Linked DNA regions of Arabidopsis thaliana. The protein of the gene in region 1 interacts with the protein of each later gene in a pairwise test. Each region holds a gene or a part of one and is shown on either strand. Other genes may lie near its edges. The genes, in order: NAC097 and AT5G66330.

Evidence for each region.
Region 2: the proteins of NAC097 (region 1) and AT5G66330 interact in a two-hybrid assay, tested with the Arabidopsis thaliana proteins (one study listed by BioGRID).

The regions. Positions count from the first base shown.
Region 1 is NC_003076.8:20,675,174-20,682,135, forward strand, and holds NAC097 (NAC domain containing protein 97), read left to right. Parts: upstream 1-4,048; 5' UTR 4,049-4,051; coding exon 4,052-4,238; intron 4,239-4,264; exon of another isoform or gene 4,265-4,300; coding exon of another isoform or gene 4,301-4,340; coding exon 4,341-4,612; intron 4,613-4,710; coding exon 4,711-4,833; 3' UTR 4,834-5,101; downstream 5,102-6,962. Other genes in the region: TIM8 (translocase inner membrane subunit 8), read right to left, coding at 702-887, 1,285-1,332.
Region 2 is NC_003076.8:26,498,581-26,506,281, reverse strand, and holds AT5G66330 (Leucine-rich repeat (LRR) family protein), read left to right. Parts: upstream 1-4,494; coding exon 4,495-5,751; 3' UTR 5,752-5,880; downstream 5,881-7,701. Other genes in the region: SHI (Lateral root primordium (LRP) protein-like protein), read left to right, coding at 139-760, 1,195-1,536, 2,995-3,026; AT5G66340 (uncharacterized protein), read right to left, coding at 3,129-3,240, 3,384-3,517, 3,757-3,780.

The DNA.
Region 1 (6,962 bases):
GATAGTATTACTAATAAGTACGTATATTACGTGGATCTGTACAAGAAAGGTTCTATGGTGTAGTGGTTAGCACTCTGGACTTTGAATCCAGCGACCTGGGTTCGACTCCCGGTAGGACCTTTATTTTTGCATCCTATTTTATTTTCTCATAGATTCAGCCCATCTTGCCACAATTAGATCTGGCCCATCTTCCATCCAAATTAATCATTTTGGGCAGTACTCTAATCAATTCATTATAGCGAGAAGTAGAGGCAAATTGGAATGTATTGAAATTTACTGGATTGAATTAATTGCTAAAAGTAAAACAGTGATAAATCCAAACAATTCCTAGCCTTAAGAAGGCCTTTACTCTTTTTTTCTCACGATCTCTCAGTGTCTCGAGGTTTTTTGGTTTGTGACTTTTCAAAGTAAAGTGCCATTTCACCACAATCTCTATGTGACTTAGCAAGTTTCATTGTTTCAACCCAACCCTTGTACAACCCTCCTTATTAAAACCACATTATTCAACACTTGTCTCTTAATATATTACTAGCCATCAATAACAATCTCAATCACATAACCATAAAGAAACACCTAAAACACTTATCCGAGAATACTCTTGCAAGATCACTAGAGTAATAAAAGGGATTTCAACACTTGCCAAGAGAAACAAAAAAAGGATAAATTAAAATTCCAACAAGTATGATATCCTCCAATCAATTTTACTGCGAATTAAAGCGTTTCATGATGATCATACTCATATCCATGTAGCGTTGAGCACAATGAGTGAGGCAAGAACTCTCGCTTGAGCTGAACTTACTTCCCGGTGCGCTTGTGATGCATTTGTCCCAGCACACACTTGTCATCTTCGACACCATTTCGTTCACCATTGCTCTTTCTTTCTCTTGCTGCCACACAAACACACACCCACATTCTCTTACAATTCACCAAACATAAACCCAAGACAAAAAAAAATCATTACTTTGCATAAACCCTAATAAACCCAATTCTTGTAAACACATATTAGTACACTAAATCTCAATTCAACTTGATTCTAATCATACCAACTAAATCACACATGAAAAAAAAAATCAGATCTTTCAAGTTTAAAGCATCGAAATGTTAATTTGACCCGTCAACGAAGATTCAAATAAATGGTTTCTGTGAATCCAGACAGGACTTAAAACACTGCTTCTACTTATAATTTCGCTGTCCAAATGCTCAAGTTTCCATGTGAATCGACTTAAAAAGCTTTAAAATTGAAAGAACTAATTAGCATTCATCAAAAACAAATCGGAGACTTACGGCGAGGAATTGAAGCAATTCCGGGTTGTTTGCCATGCTAGGATCCATGTCTGGTGAGCTGAGAGCGTCTCTGCTTGAAGAAGAAGAAGGAGAAGAAAATTGTTCTCAGCGACTGAAAACCCTAAAAACTTTTCTCAAAAACCCCAAAAGGCTACAATAAAGTTCAAGAGACGCCGCTTACTTACTTATTGGGCCAAAACCCCCATTAAAAGCCCAACAGTTAAATAATCATATTGAGATCAAATATGTAAAAGTTTGATTTAAATATGGATCATGATCTGGGCCGAGTGTACGGATATATAGGGTGGGTAGACTCAGTGATTTTAAACCCGGACCCGACCGGTTTAATAGGGAACCAGCAGGCACATTTGGGTCTAAACTAGTCATAAAACCGGACTTTTTAAAACTCTGATGGAACCGGGAACTGGCGGTTCACCCAGCTATTTGTTGACTAGTTCATGTATTTTTTTGGTGGTGTATATCAAATATTCTTCTAAGAATTCATTTGCTCCAAGATAATCAAAATGTTACAATCTCCATTGTGATTAACTTTAAAGTTTAGAGGTCGTCGGTTCGAGTGACGCTTGGAACAAATTTCGGACCTAAGGGAATTACGGGCTTCGTCCCAAAACCTCCTGGTATTCAAAAAAAAAAAAAAAAAGGAAAGAAAAGTAACTTACTTGACTAACTTAGTATGCTTTGGTAAACCCATTCAATTAGAACTAGATTCAAAGACATTATTTTAAAACTATTTTCTTTTTGCATTGGAGAACCAATCAAAAAATTACGTTCAAGTGTATGTATGGTTAAAAAGAATAATTGAACATGAAGATGGTGCTTGTACCATATCAATATCAACCATCAATTGACAACACTAAGTTATAAAGAAATGAAACTTTTCATTTATGTATGTCGTTGCTTAAGAAATGTCGCTAAATCATCAAAATCTAAAGTAAAAAGAAGATTGAAAACAAACAAATAAAGGAAATGGAAAGCCAACATCTTCGAGGTGAAGAAAAGTACCAAATCCAAAATGCTGCGTGGGAGGAGTAAGACATATGATTCTAAATTGACAAATTTAAAGCTTTTTCTATATCCTTTATGAATATAAAACAAATAGAGCTTTGCCTACTTTCAACACATGAAAATTATATAGAGAAATTTTGGACTAGAATTAAAGCTAGATGTTAACAATTTAAAATATTTATCAAATATAAGCTAGTCATGTTGCATTCGAATTAAGATTCAGCAAAAGAAAGCTGATGAATACTCTCTTCCAAGTTCCAACCAATTAAACTAATCTCGATTCCTTAACAATGAAACAATCATCTTTAATCCATTTCATTTTCTTTTCTTAGTCTTTCGAAAGACAAATTATGTAACCTTTATTTCTAGTGTATAAAACATAACATTATACAAAGAGGACTAAACCTAAAATGCTATTTGTAAAAATCAAAGGCTGATGCTGGAAAGTTGAAGCAAAAAATTGGAACAACTTTGGTTTGGTGGGGGCTTTGGGAGCTTTATTGATCCAAGGAAAAAAAGGAAGGATAAAAGGCAAGTCACCAGTCCAAAGACACACATATATACAATAATTTATCTAAAATAATTGAAATTAAAGAAGTGCATGAGAGTAGAAAATTGAGTCAGACCAACATCTAATAACTTACTCGTTAAGTCAGCTTCTCAAATCTTTAAGTTGGGATCGACTTGGACTCTCTTTCAAATTCACTTTTGTTTTCTGAATATACTTTCTTATATTTTTCTTATTTCTTAATCATTGCTTATGCATATTTACTTAAATTTATTGTTTTAAAAATGTATTGTATCCCGACATTATTATTTCACTTGCCAAATGATAAAGACAAAGAAAATTTTGATTCCTCGATGATATAAGTTTTCCTTTTCCACGTATAAATTTATACCAAGAAATGATTTTACTACAAAATTATAGGTTGAACGTACGTCCAAAACTTTCGCTTATTTATGTACATTCATATCTATAATTCGTATATCATTCCGACATTACTATAAGAAAAAAAAAGGGTCGCATGGATATTTTTACATGGATGATATATACACTAGTCCCTAAACATGTGTAAGGTCCCTAACATAAAGGTTTGTTTTCTTTTTCGGTGTGAAAACATTTCAGATTTGGAATAAACACTGTGGTAATTTTTCGGGTTTAAATCCACTCTAAACACTTACGTGTATTTTTACCTGGGCTAACCGATCGGCTTATGAAAAATAAAATTTCAAATGCATGTTAAAATTAGTTCTGGGCCAATTGTTAGAAATGTGCTCGTTTTAGTTATTGATGTTGAATGTACTTATATGGTAATGAATCAGCGTGGATCTAGGCTTTTGGAACTTAAATCTTGTTTATTTCGTTTTGGTTGAAAAAATAAATAATTACCTTTGCCCAGGAAAACGAAAAAGGAACTAGATTATCTTTACCAAAAAAATAAAGATATTTTTGAATACTCGCTATATTCAAAACCTTAACAACGTTGACTGCATGGGTACATGCACCACAATTTGTTATGATGATCCTCGCATTTAAATAAACAAAAATGAAACCAATCTACGATCTCTGAATTTGCAGTTATCAATTTTTTTTTATCTATTTATCTCTTGAAATTAATAGTAGTACGTAAAAAGTATCTAAAGGAAAAGCAGAATCCGCTTTTGCCAAACTAAAGGTGACACACTCATAAGTATATATAAACAACCTAAACCAAACACAAAGGATACTCATAAGAAAGCAATGGACATTTCTGCGCAGAGATTTGCCATGAACGGAAGAAGCATGAGACTCCCTCCCGGGTTTCGGTTCGATCCCGATGATGAAGATCTTGTGTTCGAGTATCTCGCCAAGAAGGTCCTCCACCGTCCAATGGACTTCGATCTCCCTGAGCTCCGTTCTTGCAATGTTGATCCATGGGACTTGCTAGGTTTGCTACAAACTCTTCTCTCTAATAATTACTATACCATATCACGTCAAATGTATTGAAAAATGTGGTTTAGTGAATGTTGTACGTACACTTTTGTTGTAGGAGAGAAGAACAAGGAAGTGTATTACTTCGTGAAGAAGGAAGAGCGAGAGAGGAAGGGAAGAGAGACGTTATCCGGTTATTGGGAAGAGTGTGAAGAAGAGGAAGTAATGGAGGCTGGTGGTCGTGATTGTATTCATTTAGAAGGAAGGAGAAAGACATTTGCTTTCTTTATTGGAAAAAAACCTCGAGGGACAATAACTCCATGGATCATGTACGAGTTCCGACTTCTTTCCTCTAGAGCTACAAGGTGGTCATCGTCCCCTCTACCTCGGGTGAGTCACTCATTGGACTTTTATCTTTTTCTATAACATATATTTTTGTTGTAAGTAATAGTTTAGAGCTAACTATATCAATGTTTTGGGTTTTAAAGGGTGAGGTAGGAAAATGGAGGGCGGTGAAAGTCGTAGTGAAGGAAGAGAATGATGAAGAGATGGTGGAGGATGAGCACGAGTCTGACGAGTCTGATGGCGAGGAAGTTATTCAAAGCCGGTGACGACCGAGGTTGATGCCATAAATATATGTACTTGGTTTTGTGGTGAATCGTTTGAATTTAGTTACTATTGTTAGGATATTAGGGAACATCTAAATGAAATATATATGCATGATTTGTCTTATTGTCTTCCAAGCCCTTTGGAATGGAATGGAATGTAATTGAGGATGTGGTGAAAGATGCCACAAGTTGCTTTCACTCTCCCGTTTTATTTTGTTCTTGTCCAATTATATATATATATATATTATTAGTGGTCCGTTAGACCAATCCATCCAACATCACATGAGGAGGTCTTCCCACAATATAAATACAACTAGATTTTAATCCGCGATATACCGCGGGACGATTTATTTTTTAAAAGTAATATATATTAAAATTTGCAAATTTTATTTTTATAAAATATTTATATTTTACAGTTTATAATTATTATTAAGTAACGCTATACCACGAATCCATGAGACAATTTTTAAAAAACTGAAGTTGTAACCCCTATTAAAACAGCATATTAATAATATTTTAAAATTTTATAAATATTGATTCAAATACATCCACCATATAATCCAATTCCAAAATAAAACCTGTTGTATAATTTCTTTACCCGTCCCGTGATTTTTTTTTAAAAAAGTAATTTTTAAAATTTAAGAATTATTTTTATATATAAAAGTTTTGCAAATTATATCATTCTCTAATACATTTATATTTTATAGTTTAATTTTATATATAGTAACATTATACATACTACATAATATTTTCGGTTTTATATAATCTTTTCTAAATTAGGATGATTTGATATGTTTAATATTAGTGGTCTTAAAAAATAATAAATTAAATATTTAACCAGTATTGAAACGGTGGATTAATTATATTTTACTTTTTTATTAATGTTGATTCAAAAACCCGTCACTCCAAATCTGTCTTGCCAAAAAGCCATTTATTTTATTAATATTAATTTTATTAATGATATGACTCTGAATTATAATCTAAACATTTTAGCTAATAAATAGGAGTACACCATATTTATTTAATAGGGGAATGTACCATATGACCCGAATGCACTTTTACCCAAATCCACCAAAAAAGTCTTGCAAAAATACTATAGAGATAAGAAACGATAGTCGGTTTTGATAGGTAAAAGATTAGCAAATATATTAGTTAGCTTAAATTAGTTAAAGAATACAAATTGAAAAGGTATATTACACTTTATTCGAATATAGTATCAAAACTTATATAACACAGAGATTTGATAATTTTTTAATTGTTGAATACTTTTTTTTGTGCTAATTTTTATGTGATTAAGATTTAATTGATTATATATATAAAATATTAAATTGTTTTACGAACTTATTTGTTTATAATTTGGTAACAGATAGATATTTGAGTATTCAGTATATTTTGCTTCAGTTTAGGAAATCTTTGATGACCCGTCTTTAGATCCAATAAACCTTATAATCTAGATATTAACCTGCAGTATACCGCAGGTAGGCTTATATTTTAGTTAAACTAAAAACTTTTATTGTAAAGATGATTTAAAAATATATGATATTATTTTATTTGATTTTAAATGTATAGTAAACTGTGAGTTGTATATGTTTTGTTGATATTATGTATATTGTTTAGTGTTTATAATTAGACACTTGTAGTTTAATTGTTAATTTAAGAGTTTCACATGTAGTATACCATCTTGTATTAATATCGATCTAAACCCGTCAATTCTAGGATTTTCCAGCTTGTATTAAAAATTGAATCACATCATACACATAAAAAAATCTAATATGTTATTAATTATTATAGTATATAAGATTATAAATTTTCAATATAATATGTATGAAATTGAATATAAATATTTCAAATTATGACCCGTTACTCAGTAGAAAGTTTTCTTAAATCTATTTTTCACCCTTTATAATATTTTTTCATGTATTGAACAGTTTATATTTGTTTTTAAAAATTTAAATTATGGCATATGCGAAAAAACTCTAATTTTTTTTTTATAATGATGATATTATTTTTTCGCAAAAATAGAATCATATAAAGATGAGAAGTGAACTATAATAATTAATAAAAAATTAATATGATAATTTAGATATAAAATCTAATTTGTTGATTTTAATAGGTTACTTTTTTGGAAATTA
Region 2 (7,701 bases), 5.8 Mb from region 1:
TTTTATTGTCTTCTTCTGTTAAAATCTTTTGATAGATCTTCACTCTCTGAAAGTCAAGATCTTAGTCTAGGCAAGTAAATATGTGGTAAAGCAAAGCCCTTCTTGAAATTGGTCATATATGGCTGGTGGTATCGGAAAATGGCAGGATTTTTCTCGTTAGGACACGGCGGAGGAGGAAACACTCCAGACAACCACAGAACAAACACTAATAATCCTTCTTCATCGGGAACAGAATCTTGGCTTTGGTGCAGAAACCCTAACTCTAACGCTGACGGTGGAGAAGCTGGTCCTTCTTACAAAGGAACCCTTGAGCTATGGCAACACCCAAACAATCAAGAAATCATTTTCCAGCAGCAGCAGCAACAGCAACAAAGGCTGGATCTTTACACTTCCGCTGCGGGTTTAGGTGTTGGACCGAGCAACCGGAGCTTAATTGAAACTTCCGGCGGTGCGTTGATGATGATGAGAAGCGGTAGCGGTAGCGGCGGACCAAGCTGCCAGGATTGTGGGAATCAATCTAAGAAAGACTGCTCTCACATGAGATGTAGGACTTGCTGCAAGAGCCGTGGCCTTGACTGTCCCACTCACGTGAAGAGCACGTGGGTTCCTGCCGCTAAACGCCGAGAACGCCAGCAGCAGCTTTCTACCGGTCAGCAACCGCAGCAACTGGGAGGGAGCGTCCCTAAACGACAGAGAGAGCGTATCCCGGCGAGATCGACTTCCATGGCCTACACTCGTATACCTTCTAACAACACTTCAGGTATTTCATAATATCTCTTTATGGTTATTCACCCCTGAATGAAAATTAAAGTAATGAGCTTTGAATAACTTGAGTTATTAGTTTCAATTGCAGAAACAGAAACCCTATTTTGATCAGCTTTTTTTGTTCTTCTTTTTTCATTTTCAAGAAAAAAAAAAGGTGAACGATTTTCTTCTTCCTATTTTTTTTTTTTAATATGGAAATACTGTAGATCAGTAAGACTGACTCTTGGAATGACAGGAAGAAACTGTTCTCACTGATCTTGATATTTGTGTTTATATCCTGTAATTATTAAGTTTTTGTTTATTTGTTTGTTAATGCTGTAATTATTAATTTGAGTTAAGATAAAAACAAACAAACAAATCATACGTTGAAAATACTCCTACGATTTTTTCTTATAATTAACAATAATTAATTAAATGTTTTCTATCTAGGGTTGGAGGTTGGGAATTTTCCGCCGGAAGTTAGCTCGTCGGCAGTTTTTCGGTGCGTGCGTGTGAGTTCCGTAGATGATGAAGAAGAAGAGTATGCATATAAAACAGCTGTGAGTATAGGCGGTCACGTCTTCAAAGGTGTTCTCTACGATCAAGGCCCGGCCGAGAGAAGCTCCTCGGGCGGTGGATCTCAGCCGTTGAATCTCATAACCGCAGGCCCATCGGCCTCATCATCAAGCCCAAACGTGAGCTGCAACAATGGAGTCGTTGGCTCCACTTCAGATCATTATATCGATCCTGCCTCACTTAATTATCCTACTCCCATTAACACTTTCATGACTGGTACGCACTTCTTCTCCAACTCAAGATCTTGAATTCCACACAGAGAGAGTACAACAAATCATAACTTTTTTTTAGATTCTTACGGTAGAATTAGGGTTTTAAAACATCTTCGGAGGTGAAGATTATAACGTACTAATCTTGGTTTTCAAAAGTAATTAACTAAGGGAGATAATGTTCTATTAAAACAATTGTTACCTGATCTTTTATTATTAAGTTCAAATTTTGTAGGTATAATGTTAATGTAATAGTATACTCCAATTTTCAACTGTTACAAAAGTCAACGACCCTGTCTCTGTGAAAGCTCACATCAAAAGCAAGATTTGCAGCTGGCAGTTTTCAACTGTGATCGTTAAACTCAGCCTTGTTTTATTGTCAGCTTTTCACATTACTCTTTTTTTAGGTTTACTTTAACATTAATTTACCTTTCAAATTACTACTTTAGGTCAATTAATTGCAATTATGATTTGCCTGTAGAAATATTAATGTGAAAAACAAGGTTACAAAATTGAAATTTGGGTGAAGACATGTATTTAGGTGTCTTGTGCTTTTGGTCAACAAATCAGACACACTAGCACAGGTATATCGTTCGTCTACGACTACTATATATCCGGCAATATGCCATACCCTAATCTTAAGTTTTATTCAGTTTGAGCCGTTTTTAAAGTGATGCTCTCATTCCTATGATTGATATAATGTCAGTACACTTACATTTGAAGAGAGACTTACTGCCACATCCGACTCTTTACATTATTTTTTATATATATATATCCTGATAGCCAGTTTCTCCATATTTCTATCTTACATAGTTTTCACATCGTACGTTACGGTGTATTTTTTAGCCACATCTGAAGGGGCTTTACTATACAAATCTCAAATGCAATCCCCAAAATCTGACAAGCAGTGAGACTGTATGTGTATTTTGATTCTTTTGTTACAACGAGTGAGGCTGTAAATTCGGCAGATTATGAGTGAGTGGGGGAACAGAAAAAGGTGTAAAATTGGTATGCATCTTTATTTCTGCAGGTGTTTATGTTTGGACCTAAAAAAACTCTTCTTTCCCAATTCATTTCTTAGGCTCTCTTTTTCATTATTCAATTTACGTCACCTCAAGAAAGCCATGATGATAACGAGATGCAAAAAGAATCGGAAAACGAGCTAACATTATAATAACTCATTAGGATTAAAATTTAATTAAGTGTTGCATGGAGTTGTGAAGACTTGTAAAAAAGATGCACACAAATCATGCATTTTGTGATTTACATTTATATCATTCTATAATTGAATTGGTCCCATTAAACCTTAAACAGCTAATCCCACCTTGCTTATGCTGATTTGTCCCCGATTATTTCCTCCGTACTACTCGCACCATGTCTTCGAAATTTCTCTTTTGGAAAACCTAAGTTGCTTTTTATTTTCTTGGTCAAGCAAGACTCAAGAGTTTGATGTTGTTGCACGTAGAAAGGATCTTGAAGACGGATGTCGGATGGTGATAAAAGCAGCAACTTTAAACTCCGAACGCAAGTGGGGCCTTAGGAAATTTCACTGTGAACCAATAAGAGAGTAACACGTCTGAGGGACAATTTGCAATTCCATCATTGCATTTCAAGGGGACAAAACAGAAGCCTCAGGTCCACAGCATCAAGCTTTCCAAACCGAATTTTTAATTTGAGTGTCGCAGGCTCGCTGCATAAAGAGAAGACGACACTGTAGTCCTCAGTGACCAAATAATGAAGTAGCCCAAAACTAAGCCATGCTGTTGCTGGGTAAAACAAAACTACTAAGCCCTAGAGGTATGGGCCTCTGTTTTTCTCTCTCCATGAGACTCACGAGCAAATCACATAACTAACTTTGGATACATTCGACTCTGTTCCTGATCCACTCTTCTCTCCCCTGTTTGTCTTTCTCCATTATCTCTTCTTCCGGAGACTGGAAAGATGGCATTGGGCAACAAACGCACTTCGTCGACGATTTCAATAGTAATCTGGATAAGCATAAATCACAGCTTAGAGGAAAATAGAAGGTCAGAGAAGAGAGTATCGTGATCGATGTAAGCACTAGTTTCTGCTTTGTAATTGTGCATCTTTCTAACTATTATAGGGATGGTCTTTGAGTTCAAGATTAACAAAGAAACAGTGAGACAATTATTCGTTAAGAACAACATACCGACGAAAAGCAAGGACGACAACAAATTCAGATGGTGCCAATAGATTATGTTAGTACCTTTTGTTTTACCAATCTCTGCATAGTCTTAGTGACCCGTTAGGATGATTTAGTGTCCCACATGGCTTAGGTTTAGAGTTTTAGACACCTAACGCTAATGAGTGATCCTATCATATATGAACATTTTCGTCGTCTTCCATAGATTTAAAGTTAGTTAGAGCCAATGATTTGGAACCTTTGCTTGCAACAGCTGCACATTCATTAACCCATCAACCTTGCTTCCTGTAAGGCTATAATTACTTCTTCTATCTATGTCATCAACCAAGACTAGTTTAGATTTTGACAACTTCTGGTCAAATGGGTACGTCACATATGGGAGAAAATGAAATAAATTGTAAAGTTTATTAGTCAATTTATGACATGTGAATTGGTAATATGTCAAATAATCCTAAATCAAGAGTTGTTCTGCTTTGGAATCTCAACAGAATCTAAAACTCATAACCTCTGAGTTATGGTGGATGGGGATAGGGCCAACCACACCTCACTGTACAGATGTTGTTGTCTTCACGCATATGTCTGATGGACAATGACACACATGATATAAATTTACACTATCTATTTTAATATCTCAATCTCTCTATATATAAATTCCTCTGTCTTTCAAGTTTCAGAGCAACTTTCTGTAGATCTATCACACGCCTTGACCCTCTCATCCAACGGTCATTATTCACTCCAAACCCACTCTGCTTCTTCTTCTTCCAAACATCTCTCAGCAGAGCTAACCATCTCTCTTTTGTAATGGCTTCACTTATTTCCCTTGTTCTTCTTCTTTTGCTCACTTTATCTTCAGCAGAGTCCAAGACTTTCTGGGGTGACGTGGCAGCTCTCAAAGACTTCAAGAACTCAGTGGATGCCAAATCCATGAGTCCAGGCTCTTGCCTGAGTTCTTGGGATTTCTCCGTCGATCCCTGCGACAATATATTCAGCGACACATTCACTTGTGGGTTCCGCTGCGACTCCGTCGTTACCGGATCGGGTCGGGTCACGGAGCTCAGTCTGGACCAAGCCGGTTACTCAGGCTCCCTCTCCTCCGTCTCTTTCAACCTTCCTTATCTCCAGACCCTCGATCTCTCCGGCAACTACTTCTCCGGTCCACTTCCCGACTCGCTCTCCAATCTCACCCGTCTCACCCGCCTCACTGTGTCCGGAAACTCCTTTTCCGGATCCATACCCGATTCAGTCGGGTCAATGACGGTTCTTGAGGAGCTCGTGCTAGACAGCAACCGCCTCTACGGCTCCATTCCGGCGAGCTTCAATGGCCTTTCCAGCCTGAAACGACTGGAAATCCAGCTAAACAACATCTCCGGCGAATTCCCTGATCTGAGCTCACTCAAAAACCTGTATTACCTCGACGCGAGCGATAACCGCATCTCCGGTCGGATCCCATCATTTTTACCCGAATCTATAGTCCAAATCTCAATGCGAAACAACCTCTTCCAAGGAACGATCCCTGAAAGCTTCAAACTTCTAAATTCTCTCGAAGTAATCGATCTTAGCCACAACAAACTCAGTGGCTCAATCCCATCGTTTATCTTCACTCATCAGTCTCTACAGCAGCTAACACTCTCCTTCAATGGCTTCACCTCTTTAGAGTCACCCTACTATTCTCCCTTGGGTCTCCCCAGCGAGCTCATATCCGTAGATCTCAGCAACAATCAGATCCTCGGTGCGTTACCTCTGTTCATGGGTCTATCACCAAAGCTCTCAGCATTGTCGTTAGAGAACAACAAGTTCTTTGGTATGATTCCGACCCAGTACGTCTGGAAAACCGTATCGCCCGGATCCGAATTCGCCGGGTTTCAGAGACTTTTACTAGGCGGAAATTTCTTATTCGGAGTCGTACCGGGTCCTTTGATGGCGTTAAAGCCTGGATCAGCGAACGTGCAGCTCGCCGGAAACTGCTTCTCATGGTGTCCGGCGACGTTATTCTTCTGCCAAGGACAAGAACAGAGATCTCCGAAGGAATGTAGAAAGTTTAGCCGCGTCGTCCCGTAATCTTCTCTTTCCTTGTTAGTATCCGGTCCGGTCGAGTTTTTCCGGCAATTGCTTAACCCGATAATTGCATCGGTTAAATTGTGATTAATTTAATAAAATTGCCGTTTGGAGAGACAGCAACTAGCCAACTAGACGATCTTGTTATTAACTAATGACAAATGGGTTTGTGTAACAAAAATGGATAAGATACACGGGATGTGCTATGGTCAGCACGTGCGACCATGAATATGATTTGGGCCCATTTTGTAGGCTGGTGGCCCAGTTGATGATTAGGTCATATGAACAGAACAATCTCATAACCAACAATATCGAGCTATGAGAATTCTATATGCAGATTGCTTGGGCTTTACATGTTGGGTCATATTTATAGAGCCCATATGATACGATAAACAAATGAAAGTGATCTCGTAGGCCCGTCTTCAAAATGAAAACAACCTAACAATTAGGCTGTACAAATAGAAAATGACAAAACAAAAGGGGTGTTCCTTCATAAAGGAAATGGCGCCACCATTCATTCATTCATTTGGGTTTCATCAAAAGTCAACACTATGAGTAGATGACAACCTCCTCTAATGTCTCATACAGTATATTCTTAGTTTTCACTTTCGGTACGTCTTTTTAGATAGTTTTGATTCCTCAAACTCGTTTCATATACAAAAGACAAATAAAATTTGCTTTTCTTTTATATTTGAAAAAAAAAATCGTAATGCAAGAAGGTGAGATAGTTTGAATAGTCTACCACGGTCAGTATGTGACAAAATTGAATGATTTTCATTTTCCCGCTCCAAGGTTTCGAATTTGATATGTTGTCTCCTTTGCTTTCTATGTCTTAATGCATAAAACCAAACAAGTGTTTCTTATTTACATTAACAAATCGCTGTCAATTTTGTTTTTTCTCTATTTTTAATGAACAAATTCATATCATTGGTGGTACGATCCATTCCATAGAAAAAAATGGGAGATGGAAGATTCAAAAGTGGCTAACAATTCTCGTGGGACTTTTTAGCTCCTCTCTCTCACACTCTCTGTCATAGCTTCTCTTACTATTCTTCTTCTTCTTCTTCTTCTTCTTAATTTGACATTTCAAAATTTAAAAGAAAAAAAAAGTACAACAAACATAAAGACCCCATATCAAGAAACGCAGCTTTGCCGACGGATACGTCGAGGCTAGTTTTGTCATTTAATATTTAGCATTGTTACAAAATATTTATCTTCTCAGATTATCCATTTCATTGACAGAATTAGAGTGATTTATGAATATACGTGTTTTAATTTAGGCAAGAGTGTGATGATTTTCCACCCTAAATAATTGTGAAAACAAAACATCAATGGATTAGCCGTCGGGGAATTCTGATTGGTCGACTCACGTCAAATGCATGAGATACAGCCAAACAGAGCACGGCACGTCAGCATTACACGTGGCTACTACTTCTCAAGCCGGCGGCTCGGCTCCGAAGACCTTTTCCACTTTTTTTTTTTTTTTTTTTTTATCTCACCTAAATTTAAAACTTTCCTAGGATTGCATTTTAATCCTTTAAGATTGAGACAAAAATGTTTAAAAATATTTGTATGCACATTTTGGAAATAAAGTATAGCCAATTCATTTTGATGTATAATTACAACGATGCCTTTGTTTGGAAGTCATAATCATCACGCATTTTCCAAATATAGGGGGGAGATTTCCATTGCTCTAAAATTCAACAGTTTTAAACAACATGCAGATTCTGTATATGATACAAATAAATGCAAAATGCCAAAACTATTGTTCAACCAAACAAACAATTAAAATTAAAGGCTAAGCAATAGTAATATTTACTCCGAATTGGATAATGCTAACTAATAAAATTTTATCCACCAACTCAACTAATAGTTACCAAAAGATTAGAAGAGAATCTACACAATTTGAATAATAAGGCAGAAATTTGTAGAAAGAAGAAAAGAGAATCTCCA